2 linked regions of the Mus musculus genome follow. Each later gene encodes a partner of the first gene's protein in a complex. Links are inferred from orthologs where the notes say so. Each region holds a gene or a part of one and is shown on either strand. Other genes may lie near its edges. The genes, in order: Slc9a1 and Chp2.

The links.
Region 2: the proteins of Slc9a1 (region 1) and Chp2 are in contact, whole or in part, in a crystal structure (PDB 2BEC), measured with the Homo sapiens proteins. The link is inferred for Mus musculus from reciprocal best matches to the Homo sapiens genes SLC9A1 and CHP2. Residues at the interface, in NP_003038.2 of Homo sapiens: Ser517, Ile518, Asn519, Glu520, Ile522, His523, Thr524, Gln525, Phe526, Leu527, Asp528, His529, Leu530, Leu531, Thr532, Gly533, Ile534, Glu535, Asp536, Ile537, Cys538, Gly539, His540; in NP_071380.1 of Homo sapiens: Arg30, Arg34, Leu38, Leu51, Ile54, Ala56, Leu57, Asn60, Pro61, Leu62, Ile66, Phe70, Phe83, Leu87, Phe90, Tyr118, Ala119, Leu122, Tyr123, Met136, Val139, Leu140, Met143, Ile156, Arg159, Thr160, Glu163, Ala164, Phe177, Ser180.

The regions. Positions count from the first base shown.
Region 1 is NC_000070.6:133,365,198-133,374,300, reverse strand, and holds the start of Slc9a1 (sodium/hydrogen exchanger 1), read right to left. Parts: upstream 4,567-9,103; 5' UTR 3,758-4,566; coding exon 3,394-3,757; intron 1-3,393. UniProt on the Homo sapiens protein: Electroneutral Na(+) /H(+) antiporter that extrudes Na(+) in exchange for external protons driven by the inward sodium ion chemical gradient, protecting cells from acidification that occurs from metabolism.
Region 2 is NC_000073.6:122,215,602-122,224,878, reverse strand, and holds Chp2 (calcineurin B homologous protein 2), read right to left. Parts: upstream 5,384-9,277; 5' UTR 5,168-5,383; coding exon 5,101-5,167; intron 4,403-5,100; coding exon 4,330-4,402; intron 4,221-4,329; coding exon 4,140-4,220; intron 4,030-4,139; coding exon 3,899-4,029; intron 3,778-3,898; coding exon 3,716-3,777; intron 3,129-3,715; exon of another isoform or gene 3,048-3,128; coding exon 2,925-3,047; intron 2,758-2,924; coding exon 2,704-2,757; 3' UTR 2,340-2,703; downstream 1-2,339. UniProt on the Homo sapiens protein: Functions as an integral cofactor in cell pH regulation by controlling plasma membrane-type Na(+)/H(+) exchange activity.

The sequences.
Region 1 (9,103 bases):
CACTGCCTGAGAGTCAGGTGAACTGGGACAAAGCAGAATTCATGCGAGAGCCAAACCACAGTACAGGAAGGAGGCAGAGAATGGCCCAACCCCAAAGGGTTCAGGACAACTCTCAATTATTCATTTATTCATACATTTATTTATTATTTACTTATTTGAGACAGGGCCTCGTGTATCTCAGGCTGGCCTCAAACTCACTCTGTAACTGAGGGTGGCCAGCCTTGAGCTTCTGATCTTCCTGCCTCTACCTCCCAAGTCCTAAGCTTACTGACATCAACCGTCCTTTTTTTATGTGGTATATGGAATCAAACCCAGGGCCTCATGCATGGTGGGCAAGCACTCTACCAACTAAGCTACATGCCCAGCTCTGGTTCTCTCAATAATTTAAGTCCCTCTTAAACTACTAATTCTCCTCCCACCAAGAAGAGGAAAGAATCCTCGACTAAAAGAGAGAAACAGTGTCTGGAGAAGGGAGGTGATTTGCCTGAGGTCACCTCCCCAGTCCAGAGGCATCAATTACTCTAGAGCATTAACTCTTGCTTTGTCTCTCCCATGTCAATCTCCACAAGATCCTCCTTTGGATTTTGGCACACAACTAGGATGGGAAAGAAGACTGCACACTGCACTCTCTGTTCTTAGCTGAGGAGTACCGTGCGTGGCAAGGAGCTGCCACAGCAGAAGGGATGGGGGCTCCACCAAACCCCTACCCTCTCTGGGACAATGAGAAAACAGCCAAGACCCTGAAATAAAGTCTCTAGCTCTTGGACAGCAGACAGTGCAGAGTTCACTGCCCCAGCCCTCCAGCCTGTTATCAAGGCACCACCCCGAATCTTCCGACAACCACCAAAAGGAGGCAGCTCAAGAGAAAAGATAGGATAGGCCACACAGAGAAACCCTGACACACACAGACAGACAGACAGACAGAATAAGTCAGATAAACAGATCTGAAACCTTAAGGAAAGACAGACGGTGGACCAGGGCTAAGGAATAGTGAATAGCGTAGCGCTCCAATCTCAGAGAATATAGGAGGTAGGATTCTGCCGTAGGTGGCGGCTCCTCACCCTGCTCTCTCATGTGCAGCAAGCCAACTTTATGCACTGTATGCATCACACTGCTAGCACTCACACACTTTTGAACCTTGTACTTTGCGAATGTCCTCTACCTCTGAACTACACACCAGCCTGCACTTCTCATTTTCTGATAAAGAGGCTCAGAGAATGTGAACCGGTGGGTGGGTGGTGCATTCTACACAGCGACCTCACATCTAACCTTAACTCAAAGGCGCAGGTGGAGAGTGGAGTTTCATGGCTGCCATCTGCACAGCGCTTTGAGGTCCTTCGTCCCCATTCCCTCTACTCTTTAGCCCCAGAACGGCCAGGTGCCAAGGCCCCCATTTTCAGAAGCAGAAAAAACGCCTTTCCAAGCCAGACACACAGGCCTTTGGGATTGCATGGGGGATCAGATTCAGCCTCCCCATTTTACAGAAGGAAAACTGAGGTCCGAGTTTCAAAAGCTTAACCGGGGTTTCCAGAATCGGAGCAACAACAGAAATGTCAGACCTGGAAAGGATCCTGAAGATCAGCAGGCTAAGGAGACATGATTGGTCAAGGTCATGGGGGGAGGGGGGGAGGAGAACTCAGTTTCCTGACTGATATCCTTGCCGGCACCGTCTATGGTATCCAGTGGCCCAGGGTCTGTTGACAAAGCAGGTCAGGGCCAGCCAGCACACATTAGGACAAGAGCTATCAGGTCTGCAGGAACAAAGTTGGGACTTCCCAGAGTGGGGTCTTTCTGGTCATGCTAGTGTACTGACTAACAGCAGACACAGGTCTGCAGTGTGTGTGCCAGCTCCCAGGACTGGGACACCACGGGGCTGAGGGAGGTGTTAATTTACAGGCAGCACTTATGAAGTCTCTCCAGTCTCTCCCTCGCCTCCTACAGACAAATGACATATTATGGTCACTTCAGGGTCTTACAACAAATACAGACACACGGTGTCATGAGTCAATCGATATAGTCAAATAGCAATTCCGATGCTTATTTCACAAGAAAGACCTTCAGGAAGACACTCAGCTGTTCAAGGTCATGCATTTAGGTTTGAATCTGTATCCACGGTTCCCCTTGCTCAGACCTTGATTTTTTTTTCCCCCCCAGGAAGCTGGCTGCCATCAGGGTGTAGGTGCTGATGGCCCAGCTCCATGCCCTAACTCGGCCACTGTAACCACCTCAGCACCAAAGCCCCATACCAGGAAGCCAGCTCCTGGATCTATCAAAACAGAGGTACTGGTTAGTTCCTGCAGCATGCCACAGGGCCAGCCTCACACCAGTTTGGTGTCCTTGGGAAAAGAAGCTGCGAGACTTCCTGCCCAGAGTCTCTAACTCCTCAAAACCCAAATCTCAAGCAAAGAGGGAAGCAGAGAGAGACCCGGTGGCTCCCACTTTCAGTTCGCTGAAAGTGGGCTGGAAAACTTAAGGTAGCTTGAAAAGCCCCCTAGATACCATCTCCAGGAACTTCTGGGCTATGCAGCCTCGGGAGAACCCCACCAATCACCCAGCAGAACAGGGTGCTCAGGCTGGGCAGGAACCCCAACCCTTGGAGAAGGAACAGCATTTTCATGTCATTCTTCCAAAAAGAATATTTTAAAATCTCTTTAGACCCAGCTCTTCTCTATCTCTTTGCCTTCAATGGGTGGTCCCCGTCTCTAGTCAGTTGGGTACAAACCTGAACCAAACCTCAACCTCCTCTACTTTCTTGCCATCCCCAAATGGCTGGCTGTAGCCATTCCTATGAACTGGATAACGGTTGGCATTTCTGGACTGGGACCTGACTCAGGGGCTTCTGACTGGCCTTGGCAGGCAAAGCTGAGAGGTATCACTCTGGGGATGAAGGTAAATAAGTCTCTGGGGATCCCTGTGTTCTACCACACACCTAAGTGCCTTGTACCTAGTTCCTTACTCTACGCAAAATCCTTAGACAGGCCAAGTCCTAAAACACCCTTTCACAAAGAATGTAATAAATCCGTACTGATTCCTGTTGACAGGACAGAAAGGGCCACTTGCTAAAGGATATTCCTGTCTTACACATAGCTAAGCACCTGCCTCCTCTCTAGGTCCCATCCCAGCTGTAGGAGACCAGCCAAGCCTTGGCAGCTTTTCTGAAACCAATATCAGAAGCATCCCATCTCGTGCACGCTCCTGACCCTCCCTCCTGCTACATAATGCCAGCTCACAGGCCAGAGCTGGAGTTTAAGGACCAACAAAAAGGAGGGAGAGGCTGCCCGCCCGCGTTGCAGAAGTGGTTCATTCAGAGCCTGAGAAGCAGAACCTGGTAACAAGTGGGGCAAGAAGCTCACCTATCTGGTGGTGGCAGCAACAGCACCATCATGCACTTACCTATCTTCATGAGGCAGGCCAGGAGAATCCAGAGGGAGATCTCAAAGGGTGTGCGCACGTGAGGGTAGTCAATGTCCAGGACTGGGAAGGCCTTCCGAGATGGCTTACCGCCATGTTCAATGATTAAGTTGGTCAAATTGTGGTCATCTGGGCGATGGAGAGGCTCTGATGGTGCCGTGGTGACATCCCCAATTGAGCGTTCCCGGGGTGGTTCAGAACCTCTGATGGTGCTGGCAGTAGGGCTGTGCTGGAGGCCGTGGCTCCTGAGAACAGGTAGCAGTCCCACCAAGGCAACCACCACCAGCAAGGAGGGGAAGATCCGAGGTGGATGAAATCCCCAGACGCCGGACCACCGAAGCATCATACTGATCCCCCAGCCTAGGAGGCCTCAGCCCTTAGCGAAGTGCGTGTAAGACCTGGGACATAGGTAGCAAGGAGTCCTGCAGATGGGGTGAGACTGGGGCAATCTCTAGGAAAAGTTCATGTTTTAGAGAAGTATTTTCGTTTTCTAGAGATTCACAATCTCAAAGTCCAAACTGCAAAAAGGGGTTAAGTACCTTGGAGGGACTAAGGAGGAAACCGAAAGGATCTAGAACTTCAGGCTGAGAGAAGGAAATCGGGGAAACTGCGTCCTGAAGAGAGGGGAAGGGCCGGATAGGCTGGACCACGGGCAAGGGAAAGGAGGAAGAAGGATAGGACCTTTGGCTAAGGAAAATCACCAGGGTGCTGGAACTCGGCTAAAGGGGAGGGGTAAGGAGCCTGGGCTAAAGACGGAAAAGGGTGAGACCCACTCCGCAGGGAAAGGCGAGAGAAGGCTGGAAGGCCAGCCTGGGATAAAGGAGTATAGCAGGAAAAAGGCTGGGGCTTTCCCACCCACAGGAGAGCCAGGGTCCAGCCGCGCCGGGCTGAGATTCCGGGGAAATGGAGGGAGGCGGAAGACAGAGGCAGACGGCCTGGCGGGAAGGTGCCTCGGCGCAGGCTGGAGGCGGCTCGCAGTGAGCCAGCAGCAACACACCCCTCCTTAAGACCCCGGTGCAGAGCTGTGTTCCACCCCGGCCCAGCGGCAGCTCCTTCGGTCAGCTCCAGCTCCACTTCCAGACCTGACACAGCCCCGGGTCCCGCGGTAGCGGACTGATGCCTCGCTGAGCACAGCGCAGCCATTTATAGGCACCAACGAGTAGCAGGCGCAGCAAGCTAGAGAGACCTGTCAGCGCCCGCGCGGTGCAGCGGCCCCTGTCGCCCAGGGAAGGAAGTGTCACGTAAGAAGAGGAAGCCGAGACCTAAATTGGAAAAAAAAAAAAAAAAAAAAAAGTACAATCTAACACGAGTGACATACTGTACTATCTACAAAGTGTTTTCTTGTTAGCATGTGACTTTGAACAAGTTATTTAGCCTCTCTGTTTCACAGCTTTCTCAACTGTAAGGTGGAGATGGATAGCTATAACAAAAGGATAACAAGATGGTTAAATGAGGTGATCTATGAGAAATGTTTAGAATGAAAGGGATGGGATCGTGGTTCAGAGGTAGAGTGCTTGTCTACCATTGGTTCCTATGCCCAGTGTCACAAAATAAAGTTAAATGAATGAATGAAATGGGCTAGAAATCTGCACTCTGTATGTTCCCAAGCATTGACCTGTGCTGAGGACCGTGTGAGCTGAAATCCGTTCCTGCATCCCAGCCACAGGTGCTTTGATGGCAATGTATTGGCTTCCCTTGACTGTGGCGGCATAACCCCAGCCTCCCTGTATCCGTCTTTAGGTCCAAATTTCCCCCTTTAAAAGGACTCCAAGCAAATTGAATTAGGAATTGGCCCTAATGGCGTACCTTACCTTGATCAACTTCAAAAACCCAATCTGAGCCACGAACGGTGGGAAACTGTAATTCCAGCATTTGGGAAACTAAAGAAAGAGGAATTTTTAACTCAACGTCAGCTTGTGTAACAAAGTGAGTTCTAGACCAGGCTGAGGTCAGTAGGGAGACCCTGTCTCAAAGAGATTTAAAACAACAACAACAACAACAAAACCCCTCATCTAAATAAAGCCACATTCTCGGGCACTGAGGGGTGGGCAGGGGTAGGACTTCAGCTTCTTTTGAAAGGGCGTGTTTCAACTCATAACAGTAGTGAAACAACCAAAAAGTAAGAGGCTGGGTATTGTTTTTGTCTGTCTGTCTATCTGTCTGTCTGTCTGTCTGGTTTAAAGAGAAAAGAAGGATTTTTATTATCTGCAGACAGAAAACAGCTTCCAGAAGGGGCATGTTCTGTTTTGTGCGAAAGGCTACATTCTTACAATGTAGCCCAGCTGGCTTCTAATTTTTGGCAATCCTCCTGCCTCTCCCTCTCAAGTGGGATTACTGGTATGCACCACCACACACAGCCGGAACTGGAATTTGAATGAATGATATTGATTAGAGTTCAGAAAGGTCGAGACATTGTGTCTACATGGTGCAATCATGAGAACTCTTCCCCCCCCCCTCAGAAGTAGGATCTGAACACAGAACCCTGTGCGTGCTAGGTAAGCACACCACCGCTGAGCCCAGACTGAGAAGTTTTTAAATCATTTCAAATGCCATCCTGTTTCATGGAAAGGTTAATTAAAGCCGAGAAATCCAAGGTGATTTGTTCAAGGGGCTGTTAGAGGGGTTTGTTTTCGTTTGACAAATCTCTTCAGAACTTTCTTGACAAGGATTTCTGCTGAGCTAGGGACATAGGCATGAGGCGTGGAGTGGGACTGTGAATGGTGATTAGGGTCAGCTCCAGAGCTCAAGGTGAGCTTCCCAGCTCTGGGAGTGTCCTGTTCCTTCACTGGGTGGTCCATACCCAGTTACTCAGAGGCAGTTATGTTGTGGGAGTTCACCATGCCTTCAGAGTTTGTGTACTTTCCATCTGGAAAAAGGTGTTTTCAAGTAACAAGAGTGTGATATGACAACCAAGTGTAAAACATTTCTGACTTTTCTGAACCTTGCCACGTTTTTCCAGGAATAGATTCAGACACTGGGAGGTGACCGGAAAAAAAAAAAAAGAAAAAGAAAGAAAGAAAGAAAGAAAGAAAGAAAGAAAGAAAGAAAGAAAGAAAGAAAGAAAGAAAGAAAGAAGAAAAGAAAAGAAAAGAAAGAAAGAAAGAAAGAAAGAAAGAAAGAAAGAAAGAAAGAAAGAGAAGATTCAGAAACAGACCTGGAAAGATGCTTTAGTGGCTAAGGACCATCATTCAAATAAATCCCCAGCTCTCAGAGTTAAAAGAAAAGAACAAGAAAGCCAAGTATGCCCACATACCTTTAACCCTCGTACCTTGGAGAATGGAGACAAAAAAGATTGCTAGGGCTTGCTGCCCACCAGCCTGGCTCCAGGTTCAGTGAGAGACTCCATCTTGAGAGACTAAGGAAAGGTCACAGGAAACATGATTCCTAGTTTGGCGTCTGCCTGTACAAGGCTGATGCACTTGCACACAACACAACACACTATGCATATACCATACCCATACACACATGAGGGGTGTGTTATGGGATTCGGAGACTATCATGGAGCAGCTGTCCTAGCATGAGCAACACCCCGGGTTCGATCCCCAACACTTTAAGACAATACTGAGAACAGATGAAAGACAAACAGTAGCTCCAATGGAGGTGAGAAAAGGGAATGACTTCTAGGTCACAGATCAGAACAAGCCAGGCTTGCCATCTGGCATTGAGATGAGACTTCTCAGGAGACTGAGTCAAGAGGATGGAAAGTTCAAACCCTGCAAGGTCTACAGAGTGAGCTCAAAGCTAGCATGATCAACTTTGGAGAGCTTGCCTCAAAATAAAATGATATAAAAGATAATGCAGGACTGGGCTCAGAGGTTAAGAGCACTGACTGCTCTTCCAGAGGTCCTGAGTTCAATTCCCAGCAACCACATGGATGGCTCACAACCATCTGTAATGGGATCTGATGCCCTCTTCTGGTGAGTCTAAAGACAGCGACAGTGTACTCATATACATAAAATAAATACATAAATCTATAATATTAATAATAATGATAATAAAATAAGGTGGTGGGAACATAGCTCAGCACTGGAGTGCTTGCCTAGCATATAAAATGCACTGTGTTCCGTTCTCAATAACTAAAACCCCAGAGGATCAGAATCAACAATGCCTTGTGGAGTCACTGAGAACTGAAAACCAACTGCTATGCCGTATAACAGAGAATCAGGATGCAGTAGTGATTATTCCCATTCTCACTTGACAGATAAAGCACCAAGGTTTGGATTCTTGAAGCTGTTTGCCTAAGATCACATAGCTGTGGGGAAGCAGTGCTAACATTTAAAGCCAGGCTTTAATCTACACTGCAGACTCAGTACGGATTACTAAAGGGAGAGGAAGGGCAGGGCTAGTGTAGGCACTTTACTCCCAAGCCTTGAGGCCACTGGCAGTCACTGGTGTTCCCCACCCCCACCCCACCCCCTCCAGCCCTCAGTAAGTCTTTGGTGCCAGCTCCAGAGAGAACAGATCGGAGAAGAACCAGGAAATACCACCCCTGGTGGAGGTCCTACAGGACATGGAGAAGGTTATAAAAACTTAACAGTATCAGGAAATAATCCTAGCTTGTAGCTAGGGCACAGTCCCAGGAGGCTTCAGGGCTGCCTAACACAGATGGCCACTGTCTAGACCCTGTCCCAGCACCACCACAGGCGTGAGACCTGGAGTAATCAGTCTCTGTTCCAAGTTCTTCCACCATAAAGCAACAGGGCCAACCTTGTGGTGCTGTAGTCAGAATATTAGGGAATGTACATAAATAAAGCTTTAGAGCAGCGCCCAGCAGGCACCACCTGAATTTGTCATTGTCAACCTTTCTTGCGGGTATCTTGAAGTCTTAAACTTAGACTTTCATGTCTGTTTGGGTTTGTTTTGATACCGTGTCATAATCACTTGTAAATTTATACTCCTGCCTTCCTCTATCTCTCTTCTTTTAAAGATTTATTTATTTTATGTATATGACTACACTGTGGCTGTCTTCAGACACACCAGAAGAGGGCATCAGATCCCATTACAGATGGTTGTGAGCCACCATGTGGTTGTTGGGAATTGAACTCAGGACCTCTGGAAGAGAAACCAGTGTTCTTAACCAACTGAGCCATCTCTTCAGGCCTCCTGCCTTCCTCTCAAATACTGGCTTTCAAACTAAATAACTGAAATGACCTTGAAATTGCAATTTCACACACACACACACACACACAGAGAGAGAGAGAGAGAGAGAGAGAGAGAGAGAGAGAGAGAGAGACACGAATGCTAGGCTCACATGTATGCACCACTGTGTTTGACTTTGATTTTTTTTTTTTTTTTTTTGAGCTAGGACTTCTCTAAGGTAGCCCAAGTTAATATCAAACTTATGGTCCTCCTGCCTCAACCTTCTGAGTGTTCATATTACAGGTGAAGCCTTGATTCAAGGACCCTTTGAATTGGCCCACAAAGTCACAGAGATGATGGATAGGCTAGAAAGAAGAGCCCTGCACAGATTGGTTCCATCACTGCAGCCTCGTGCTTTGAATCTAATACTTCTAAATAAGCTTTATCTTGTTAAAGACCATCCATTTAGCTGGGTGATGGCGGCTCATACCTTTAATCCCAGCACTTGGGAGACAGAGACAGGTAGGTCTCTGAGTTCTGAGTTCAAGGCTAGCCTGGTCTAGGCTACACAGAGAAACCCTGTCTCAGAAAGAAAGAAAGAAAGAAAGAAAGA
Region 2 (9,277 bases), on another chromosome or scaffold:
CTAAAATAGTTGAGGCAGGGGGATTGAGGATCTCCTCTTCAGGATAAGGGGACAGGGTCTTCTAGCAGTTCCAGAGCAGCCACAGCTTCCCTAGCAGCCCCAGGGGAATACTGAGACAGTTCTAGCATCCTTCTGCTTTTCTCTGGAAAACCACCTCTCAACTGATGCTGAGGTGGTTGTTGTTGTTGTTGTTGTTTTGATTTTGCTTTGATTTTTGTTTTCCATTTATAGGACAAGCAATTTTATTTAAGATTCAAATATATACATTTGAAGTGGCTTTGCCACAGAAAAGAATTTTGGGATGATCCAGTATACGGCTGAATTAGAGTTTATTGGAAAGAAATATTGTACAGGTTTATTTACTTTATCTGTCTGTGCGGTTTCCGCCCTGTTTATGTCTGCATCACATGCATGCCTTGTGCCTGAGAGGCTGCCAGTGTGGGATCCTCTGTAATTGAAGTTACAGGTTGTTGTGAGCCACTGCGTGCTTGTGGAGAACTGAGCTCAGATTCTCTTGCAAGAGAAGCAAGTGCTCTTAACCCCTGAGAGTTTGTTCCAGCCCCTCTGGAAGACAAAACAACCATAGGTTTAAGCAGGAGGTGTGAGGGTGTATCAAGAGTTCTGGGGAATCATTCAAGGTAAAGATAAGAAACACCCCGATGTGGGTGTGCACAGCTCAAGAAAGCCATGAGTAAGCGTCTTTATCACAGCCATTTTGGTGACATGAAAGTTCCATCTTAAAAGGTTTATAGAGCGTTTAAATGAGATCATAGGGTGGTTCCTGAGGTACACGGGATAGGGTTACAGCTGATCATGTAAAACCTTAAGTCCCAGGCATTACACAGGAAGTTGACAAATATTTACCATATGGCATGTAAAACCATAAGCAAATGTTTATAGTCTCCCAGGAGTATCTGGGGAAGAGTAAACAATAATGAAAGGCTCAAACTTTAAGCATTGTCTTAGATTTCTATTGCTGTGAACAGACACCATGACCAAGGCAACTCTTGTAAGAGACAATATTTAATTGAGGCTGGCTTACAAGTTCAGAGGTTCAGTCCATAATCATCAAGGCGGGAACATGACATCAACTAGGCAGGCGTGGTGCAGTAGAAGCTGAGAGTTCTACATTTTGTTCCAAAGGCAAACAGAAGACTGGCCTCCATGTGGCCAGGAGGAGGGGCTCAAAGCCTCCCCCCCACCCCCCACCCCCCACAGTGACATACTCCCTTTAACAAGGCCACACCTACTCCAACAAGGCCATACCTCCTAATAGTGCCACACACTGGGCCAAGCATATTCAAACCACCACAAGCATATTTTGTTGCTATTTTAACTTTTTAAAAGTTTTTACTTATATGTTTGTGGTCGCTTGCCTGTATTTACAACATACATGCAATATCTTTGAAGACCAGAAAAGGGCATCAGATTCCCTGAAACTTGAGTAACAAGTTGTTCTGAGCCATCCAATGTGGGTACTAGAAACTGACCTTGGGTCCTCTGAAAGAGCAGTGAGTGCTCTTAAAGGCTGATCCATCTCTCTAGCCCCAATTTTTACATTGTTATTTGAAAGATCTCTAAATAAAAGCAATAGTCTTTGAGTAGGAAAATTCCACAGCTTGATATATATATATATATATATATATATATATATATATATATATATATATACATATATATATCACATCACTATCTCTATATCTTGTGTCTGTGTATGTGCTTCTATTCTGCCTCAAAGTGACTTGTATACTCTTTTCTGCAGTCTGACAATGTTTGAACTTCTTACCATGAGCACAACGAATTATTCTGCAAACCTTGGAGTACCCATATACTTTAGGAAAATAAGTATGGTTTAAATTACTGTACCCCATCCTCCCACCAGCCACCAACCCCATCATATTATCTTTCATCAAGGGGATCAGAGAAAACCCATTCAAGAGGCCATATTTCAAGATTCCCTTAATTTGCTCAACCAAGTAGCAAAGAGATGCATCATTCACGTTGCCCGAACAAAACCAACATAAACACACACACACATACACACACATTTTTCTGATAACATTACTTCATTTTCCTTAAGGCAACCACCTCTCACTCTATGCTAAGACTTCAGGCATTATTTCAAGGTTTTGGAATTATTATATGACACAGGCATAGCTTTTTTGGATGTTCCATTCCCCTGGAGATAGAGAAAAGACCCAGCTGGGTCAATGATGCTGCTTGGTTGGCATTTCTGGAGTAAGACAACTCTTCCTCTGGGTTAGTGTGCTAAGCAGATGTTAATCTGGATAGCTGTCGGCCCTTTGTACCCCCAAAAAATGATCCCAATGCAAGGAGGCAGCCAAGCTGAGAACCCCAGGTGACAAAACTCAATTCTGGTGACACCATGCTTGTCCTTGGATCCAGCTGTCCCTAAAGGCAACTACTTCCAGGCTGTCTAGTCACAGGCGTGTGTCACTCTTCTCACGTTTTTTTTTTTTAATCAGGTCACTTTGGGTTGGCCTTTCAGCCACTTGCAACCAAATCACTGAGTGATTCACAAATCTGAGAGCAAATGAGACTTCAGCACACATTCTTCCAACTTCCTTTCCTAGCCCTAAGCAAAGTTTCAAAGTAGAATATGGCTTGTGGGATCCTGCCTCCAGGGGACCCAGGTAGGTAAATCCCAAGCCCACAGACGTCTACGTGAGTCAGACACAGGGGTCACTTCAGGATCCGGATGCTCATTTTTTGTTCGATGTTCATCTTCTCTAAGGACTGGGGAGAGATGGGCGAGGTCAAGACAAGAGGCTTGAATCTCAACCCCTCCCCTGGAGTCCTAGCATCTCCCAGAATGCACCTCTCCCCGGTCTCTCCCATCCTCCAGTTAATTGTATTTCCCTACCCTTCTGTCCCAGGCACTCCTGATCTCAACCCCTCCTAACCTTGGTGAACTCCAGGAAGGACACAGCCCCATCCCCGTCCTCATCAGCTTCCTGCACTGTACGGTCTGTGATGCTCTCCAGCTGCTCATCCGTCACCTGGACCCCAACCATGAGGCGGAGAACCTGGGAGGGGAGAGAAGAGGCAGTCAGAGAGAAGAGCCACAGAGGCTGCTCCTCCAGCCCCAGCCTTGCCCACCTCATCCCGTAAGTTATAACCAATTTTTTTCTCACGCACTTTTCACCATCAAACTCAATTTCCCCTACAGCCTGTAGTAAATGCCTGGCACTGTGTCACTGTCTAGTTGTATAGCCCAATCGACACCCATCCTCCACTCTACAACACCTTACTCTCCACCCTAACTTTATCATCTATCCCAGAGTCTTGGCACTAATGACATTTGGACCTAGATAAGTCCTTGATGTGGAAGGCTGTCCTAGGTGTTTGGGTGTGTATAGCAGTATTGCTGGCCCATTCCTGGTAAAAATCGATTGGGTGATCTCTTCCCGGTAATGACAACTAAGTATCTCAGATACTGGCAAGAGGCGGCATTACTCCCAAGTTGGGAATCTGAGCTCTATTCCCAGTCTCTTACCTATTTCCTCCCCACCCCTTGTCCTAACTAACCCAACCCCAGCCCATCTCAGGTCTTACCTAACACACAATCATTTGCAACCCCAGTCATCATACACACACACACACACACACACACACACACACACACACACACACACCTCCATTTAACCATCCTGCCCTGCCCACATCACATCTGATGCAGCCATGGTCTTCTGACCTGTAGCATTTCATTCCTGGAGATCTTCCCATCCCGATCCAGATCATAGAGCTGAAATGCAACTGGGAAAGGAGAGGGAAAAGGAAGTGAGGCTCCTGAGCTGACAATAAGTCCTCACCAGGCTCACGGGGGGGGGGGGGGGGGGGACGGGGGGGGGGGACGAGGGGGGGCGCACACACTCACAGCGCAGTTTGTTCATTCTGCTGTTTAGGGGTTCAGGTTGCTTGGGGTCTCGGAGTGTGGCATCTTCTTCATCTATAGGTCGAAAATAAGCCAGGACCCTGGCAAAGCCTGCGAAATACAGTCTCTGACTTCTAGAGGGACAGGGATGGAGAAGGTCAATGGTCACCCAAGCTGCCACCATCTGAAGCCTCACCTCCCACCCACGTCCATTTCCCCTCCGGTCAGCCAGTAGAGACTTCACCCGTTGGGGAAGAAGCTGTCTATAATGCGGTCACCCAGTGGATTCACAGCCAGTGCTCCGATCTGCTGGAGGTCTAGGCGGCTGTGAAGACAAAGCAAGGAAGGCAAAAAAGGAGGCAGATGGAGGTGTCAGTGAGGGGATGGGGCCAGAAAAAACAGAGGCAAAAGATCTTAAGATCTGTTCTGCTCACCTTAGGAAGCCCTTTTCATCCCTGTCCAGGGCTTGGAACCGGTGGTAGAGGCGGAGCAGGCTGGCTTGCGAGACTGCGGAGAGGAGGTGGGGATGAGTCCGCAGAGGACTCACAGGTCTTTATTGCCAGGCCCCTTGTGACTTGGGGTGCGCTGTAGAAACCCCGGCCAGGGGGCGTGGGCGAGGAACAAGAGGGCTTATTCTCATCTTTAACGCCCCCCCCCCCCAACATAAAAGGGTCTTCTATCTCTCCACCCTCAGCGCAGCTTCAACCACAAGGAAGAAGCTCACGGGCGAGGATAAAGGGAGAGAGTTACCCTTTGCAAGACCAGGTGTGTGGAGTCGACTCTGCTGGAGAAAGCTTGGCTCCAGAAAACACTAGGTTGGAGAACCCAGGAAGTTCCCAGAGCCCAGGATATAGCTCCCCCTGCATCTGTCCTCAGCTCAGCCTTCAGCCTCCAGCCGAGCTCAAAGACACCTGAGTGAATCTGGTCCATCAACCCGGACTGCCTCAAACTTGGCTCTCAGGTACCTTGCGAACCCGGACACTGGGTCTCGGTTTCCCAGCTCCAGAGGCGCAAATTCCCAGACTCAGATTCCAAACCCTCTAAGTCTCTGCGATCTGGAATACTCAAGCTACATTCTAGTGACACACACACACACACACACACACACACACACAAAACACTACACTACACTAAACCTCCTCCTGTGCCCGCCCACGAACTACTGGGCTGCGCTGACCACCACCACTACCAGCACCCATACTCACAGCCTGTCTCTCTGCGAATGTGCTCCACGTCTGGAATGAGCGCGATATGAGAGCTTCGTGAGCCCATGGCAGAGCCACAGGAGGAGACGAGCAGCCAGGGGAACCAGGAGTCCTCTGCTTCCTCTCTCCTCCCGTCCAAAAGGCGCGGCTGCCCAGTGGCCCCAGAGCCGAAGGTCACGGTCCTGGAGAGCAGCCAGAATCTAGGCGTTTTTCGCCTGCCACCTACAACTCTGGGAGAACAGAAAACAATGCCCGGAGTAGCAGGTCAGAGGGGAAGGCTGAAAACAACTGGTCGTTTCAGCCTGGAGATTGAGGTCGCCAGAGGCTGGGCAGCGATGCCAGGGCCCCGCCTTCCTCACGCCTGTGTGAGCCAGTTTTCTCCCAACACTCCCTAGACACAAACCCACCTCCTCCACAGGACCTCCCAGATCCGCTCAGCCAGTGCTGCTCACTCAGTTTAAATCCTACTGGGCAGGATGAAGATTTTCTTCTGGGGAGCAGAAGAGGGGGCAGGGGGCAGGGAGCAGGGACGGCTCCCTGGGCAGGAGGGATGGGGATGGGGAAGTCCGGGCTCCACTAAGTGGTACAGCATAGACGGGAATCCCAATTACGCTCTCCTTATTCTACATAAGGCCACGATGTTTTGTCTATGTGGGATTATCCTGTGGCTGAACTAATTCTTAAGATTCACGAAGCCTCCGGACACCAGCACTGAGGAGGTTGACGCAGGAAATTAGCCATGAGTGGGTGGCTACTCTGAGCTACATGTGTCCTAAGCCAACCTAGGCTTCCTTGTTTCTCAAAACAAACAAATGTGTTAAGATTTATCCAAAATCCAGACTCATGGATTCTCTGAGAAATCAGAAATTCTGGGGCTAACTTTGCGACTGAGTGGGATGGCATCACCTGCCATACAAGCCCAAGGCCCTGGGTTTGACACATTGCAGTGGGCTGGGGAAATTCCTAGACATTTTGATATCTCGAACAAGAGGCTATTTTCCACAGGGTTTGACACATTGCAGTGGGCTGGGGAAATTCCTAGACATTTTGATATCTTGAACGAGAGGCTATTTGCCACAGTGCCCAAACAACCCATGTTCACTCTCCCAATGTGACAACAGGTGTGTAACCTCTTAGGCTTCTCACCAGTTCCCAACACCAACAAGCTGAAGTCTGTGACCTGGCTTAAAATCCTAAACAGTCACCTCACAGTTGGCACATTCACACAGCATTCTATCAGAACATAAGCATCTGAAGAGGATGTGCTGAGACAGAAATGGAGAAGCACGGGCAGGTCATGAAGAACCGATGTCTATCTAGATCATATAGTCCATGTAACACCCAGAACCAGTATGCTAGAACTCAACTCGGAGAATTTGCAATTTTAGGGGCCCTATAAGAGCAAACTGAACACAACCTGAACTGTGGACAGGAATTTAGTGACATTCAATAAAGTATTTTTAGAAGAATCGAGGCCGAATTCCAGATTGATTCTCCTCGATGTTTGTTTTGAACAACAACATCCGTGGTAGGGTACCCTCAGGCGTAGGATGGGGCACTGTGCTGATACCTAGACAGCCCCCTGCTAACATTGTCCCACATGAACACAGGCAGGGGTGCCCTTTAACCCTTCTACCTTGGGTCCGTTTATTATCTATTAGGATGATATTAATAATGAAGCCTCCTCCTCCATTTCTGTGATTAGTGAAAGAAGAGTGTGAGGCAAGCTGGATGCAGGATGTCACACGCAGTGAGAGGCAAACAAATGCAAAAGGCAGCGTCTCATGCAACAGTACCAACAGAACAGCGCTACCAACAGAACAGCCGAACCAACAGAACAACGGTACCGACAGAACAACAGAGTCGGTTTTTTACTTCTTTGCACGCTTGACAGATTTCAACAGTAACAGTATTGCATACATTGAATGTTTCAAAGCATCTTACTTATTACTTGATCTCTAGTGTGAGAAACATAGATAATGACTAACTGGACCCTTGTTGCATCTATAAAATACTGCAGAGAACAAACAAATAATTCTACAGTATTTCTTTATCACAAATGATTGCCCCAGCACTTCTTTCTTCCGCTTCCTTTTTTGTCGTCTCGAATTTTCTAAAATAACAACTTGTTAGTCATCATATAGTACACTGTTCAAAATCAGCACAAGTTTCAATGGACATCAATTCTAATTAAGATTATATTTAAAAAAAAATACTAAAGACAGTAGCAAGGCCTGTCCCTGCACCTGGGGCTTTGCTATGTGCACTGTGAGTCCTTGCTAGACTTCACACTGTCGTGTATTGTGAACTGCTGAAAAGCACGCTGCCCTATTTCCTATAGCTATATGGGAACACCACAGTCATTAATAAAGGAAAAAAAGCTTAGGGCTGAAGAGATGACTCAGCAGTATAGAACACCTGCTCTTTCAGAGGACCCATGTTCAGTTCCCAGCACCCAAATGATAGTTCACAGCTGTTTGTAGCTTTAGGCATCGGGGACCCAATGCCTTCTTCTGGCCTTGGGGGATCCAGGCATGCTTGTGGTACACAGACATACATGCAGGCAAAACACCCACATGTAAAAACATTAAAAAGAATAAAGACTAAAATTTAGGTGGCATATGGTATCCCGTGCCTTTAATTCTAGCAGACAGAGGCAAAGACAGGTAGATCTCTGTGAGTTCAAAGCCAGCCTGTTTTATACTTCCAGTTCTAAGCCAACCATGCATACACAGTGAGAACCTGCCACAAAGATAGATCAATCAGCTAATGTGAAGCGGTGCATACCTGTAGTCCTGGCACATGAAAAGCTGAGGCAAGAGAACACTATCCAAAGTTAAGGGCTATCCTGTGCTACATAGTGAGTTCTGGCAGCCTGGGTAACAGTGAGTTCCTAACTTTAAAAATATAAAAGGAAGAAGGAAAAAAAAGATAAGACAAAATTGTCATTCATCTCTGGACTAGGAAGGTAAGGATCAGGTGGCTTTGTCTGAGTGTCTCTGCAGAGTCCCACATAGCTCAGGGCATCACATGACAAGTCCAACAGTGTATCCCTGCTTGGTGCTTCCGTGTTCTCATAAAGCCATTGACCCAACCTAGACCACTCAGGGAGCTGGAGCAGGGGGATCACAAGTTCAAGGCCTTCCTGTTCTACAAAATGGACTCAAGGCTAGACTGGGCAACTTAGAAACTGTTCCAACATTTAAAAGTAGGGAACTGGGGTGAGGAGGGGCAGCTCAGTGGGTAAGAGTTCTTGCTGTGTAAAAGTGAAGGCTGAGTTTGACCCTCTAAGATTCCTGAAGATGCTGAGCATGGCCATACATGTGTGCATGCACACACACATACACACATACACATGCACACATACACACATGCACATACGCACACAGACTTTATTTAATTTTCTTGTGTAAGGTGAAAGCTGTGTGGAAAATGTAGCTCTGGAATAGAAGAGAGCTTACCAACAAGCCTGTTGCCCTAGGTTCATTCCTCAATGCTGCTACAAACAGGTATTTAGTTTTGAAACTACCCTACATCATCCTATCTACAAGGGTTAATAACCATTTGGGAGAGAGAAACAGTCTATTAGTCTCCAGCCTGGGACAGAGACTCAACCCCAAAGAGACTTGAAAGTATTGATCTAAAGAATGCTTGCTTCACTTTCAGACTAAATAACTGGCAGGAAGGACACCAGATTCCTTTTCAGATGTCCCCAAGGACTAAAGAATGTGGGAAGCTATCCTCCTCCCCCACAAAACCCAGCCACACTCAAGGCCAGAGCTGGGAATTAGACTGAGCCCAGGAAGAAAGGAGCCCCTGATCCTATGCAGTAGTAACCTCTAGCAGGGTAAGAAAGGGGTTGCCAGCCTTGTCTCTGAGTCAACACTATGTTCAAATAAGTCATTCTAGTACAGTGACAAGCCCATATGCACATCCATCCCCAGGGGGACCCTGTGCCAGGAGGTCTTCATGCATGCAAGTGGAGTTTATACCAACTCCACACTGCATGCCTACATCTGTCCAGTTGTTTAGGGAATATTTCTGAAGAACCTATTATATGTGCTTCTGTGTGTGTGTGTGTGTGTGTGTGTGTGTGTGTTACTGGGGATGGAAACTAGAGCCTTGTTCATGAGTAAATGGTCTATGTCCTACCACTGAGCTACGTCCTCAGCTGAAG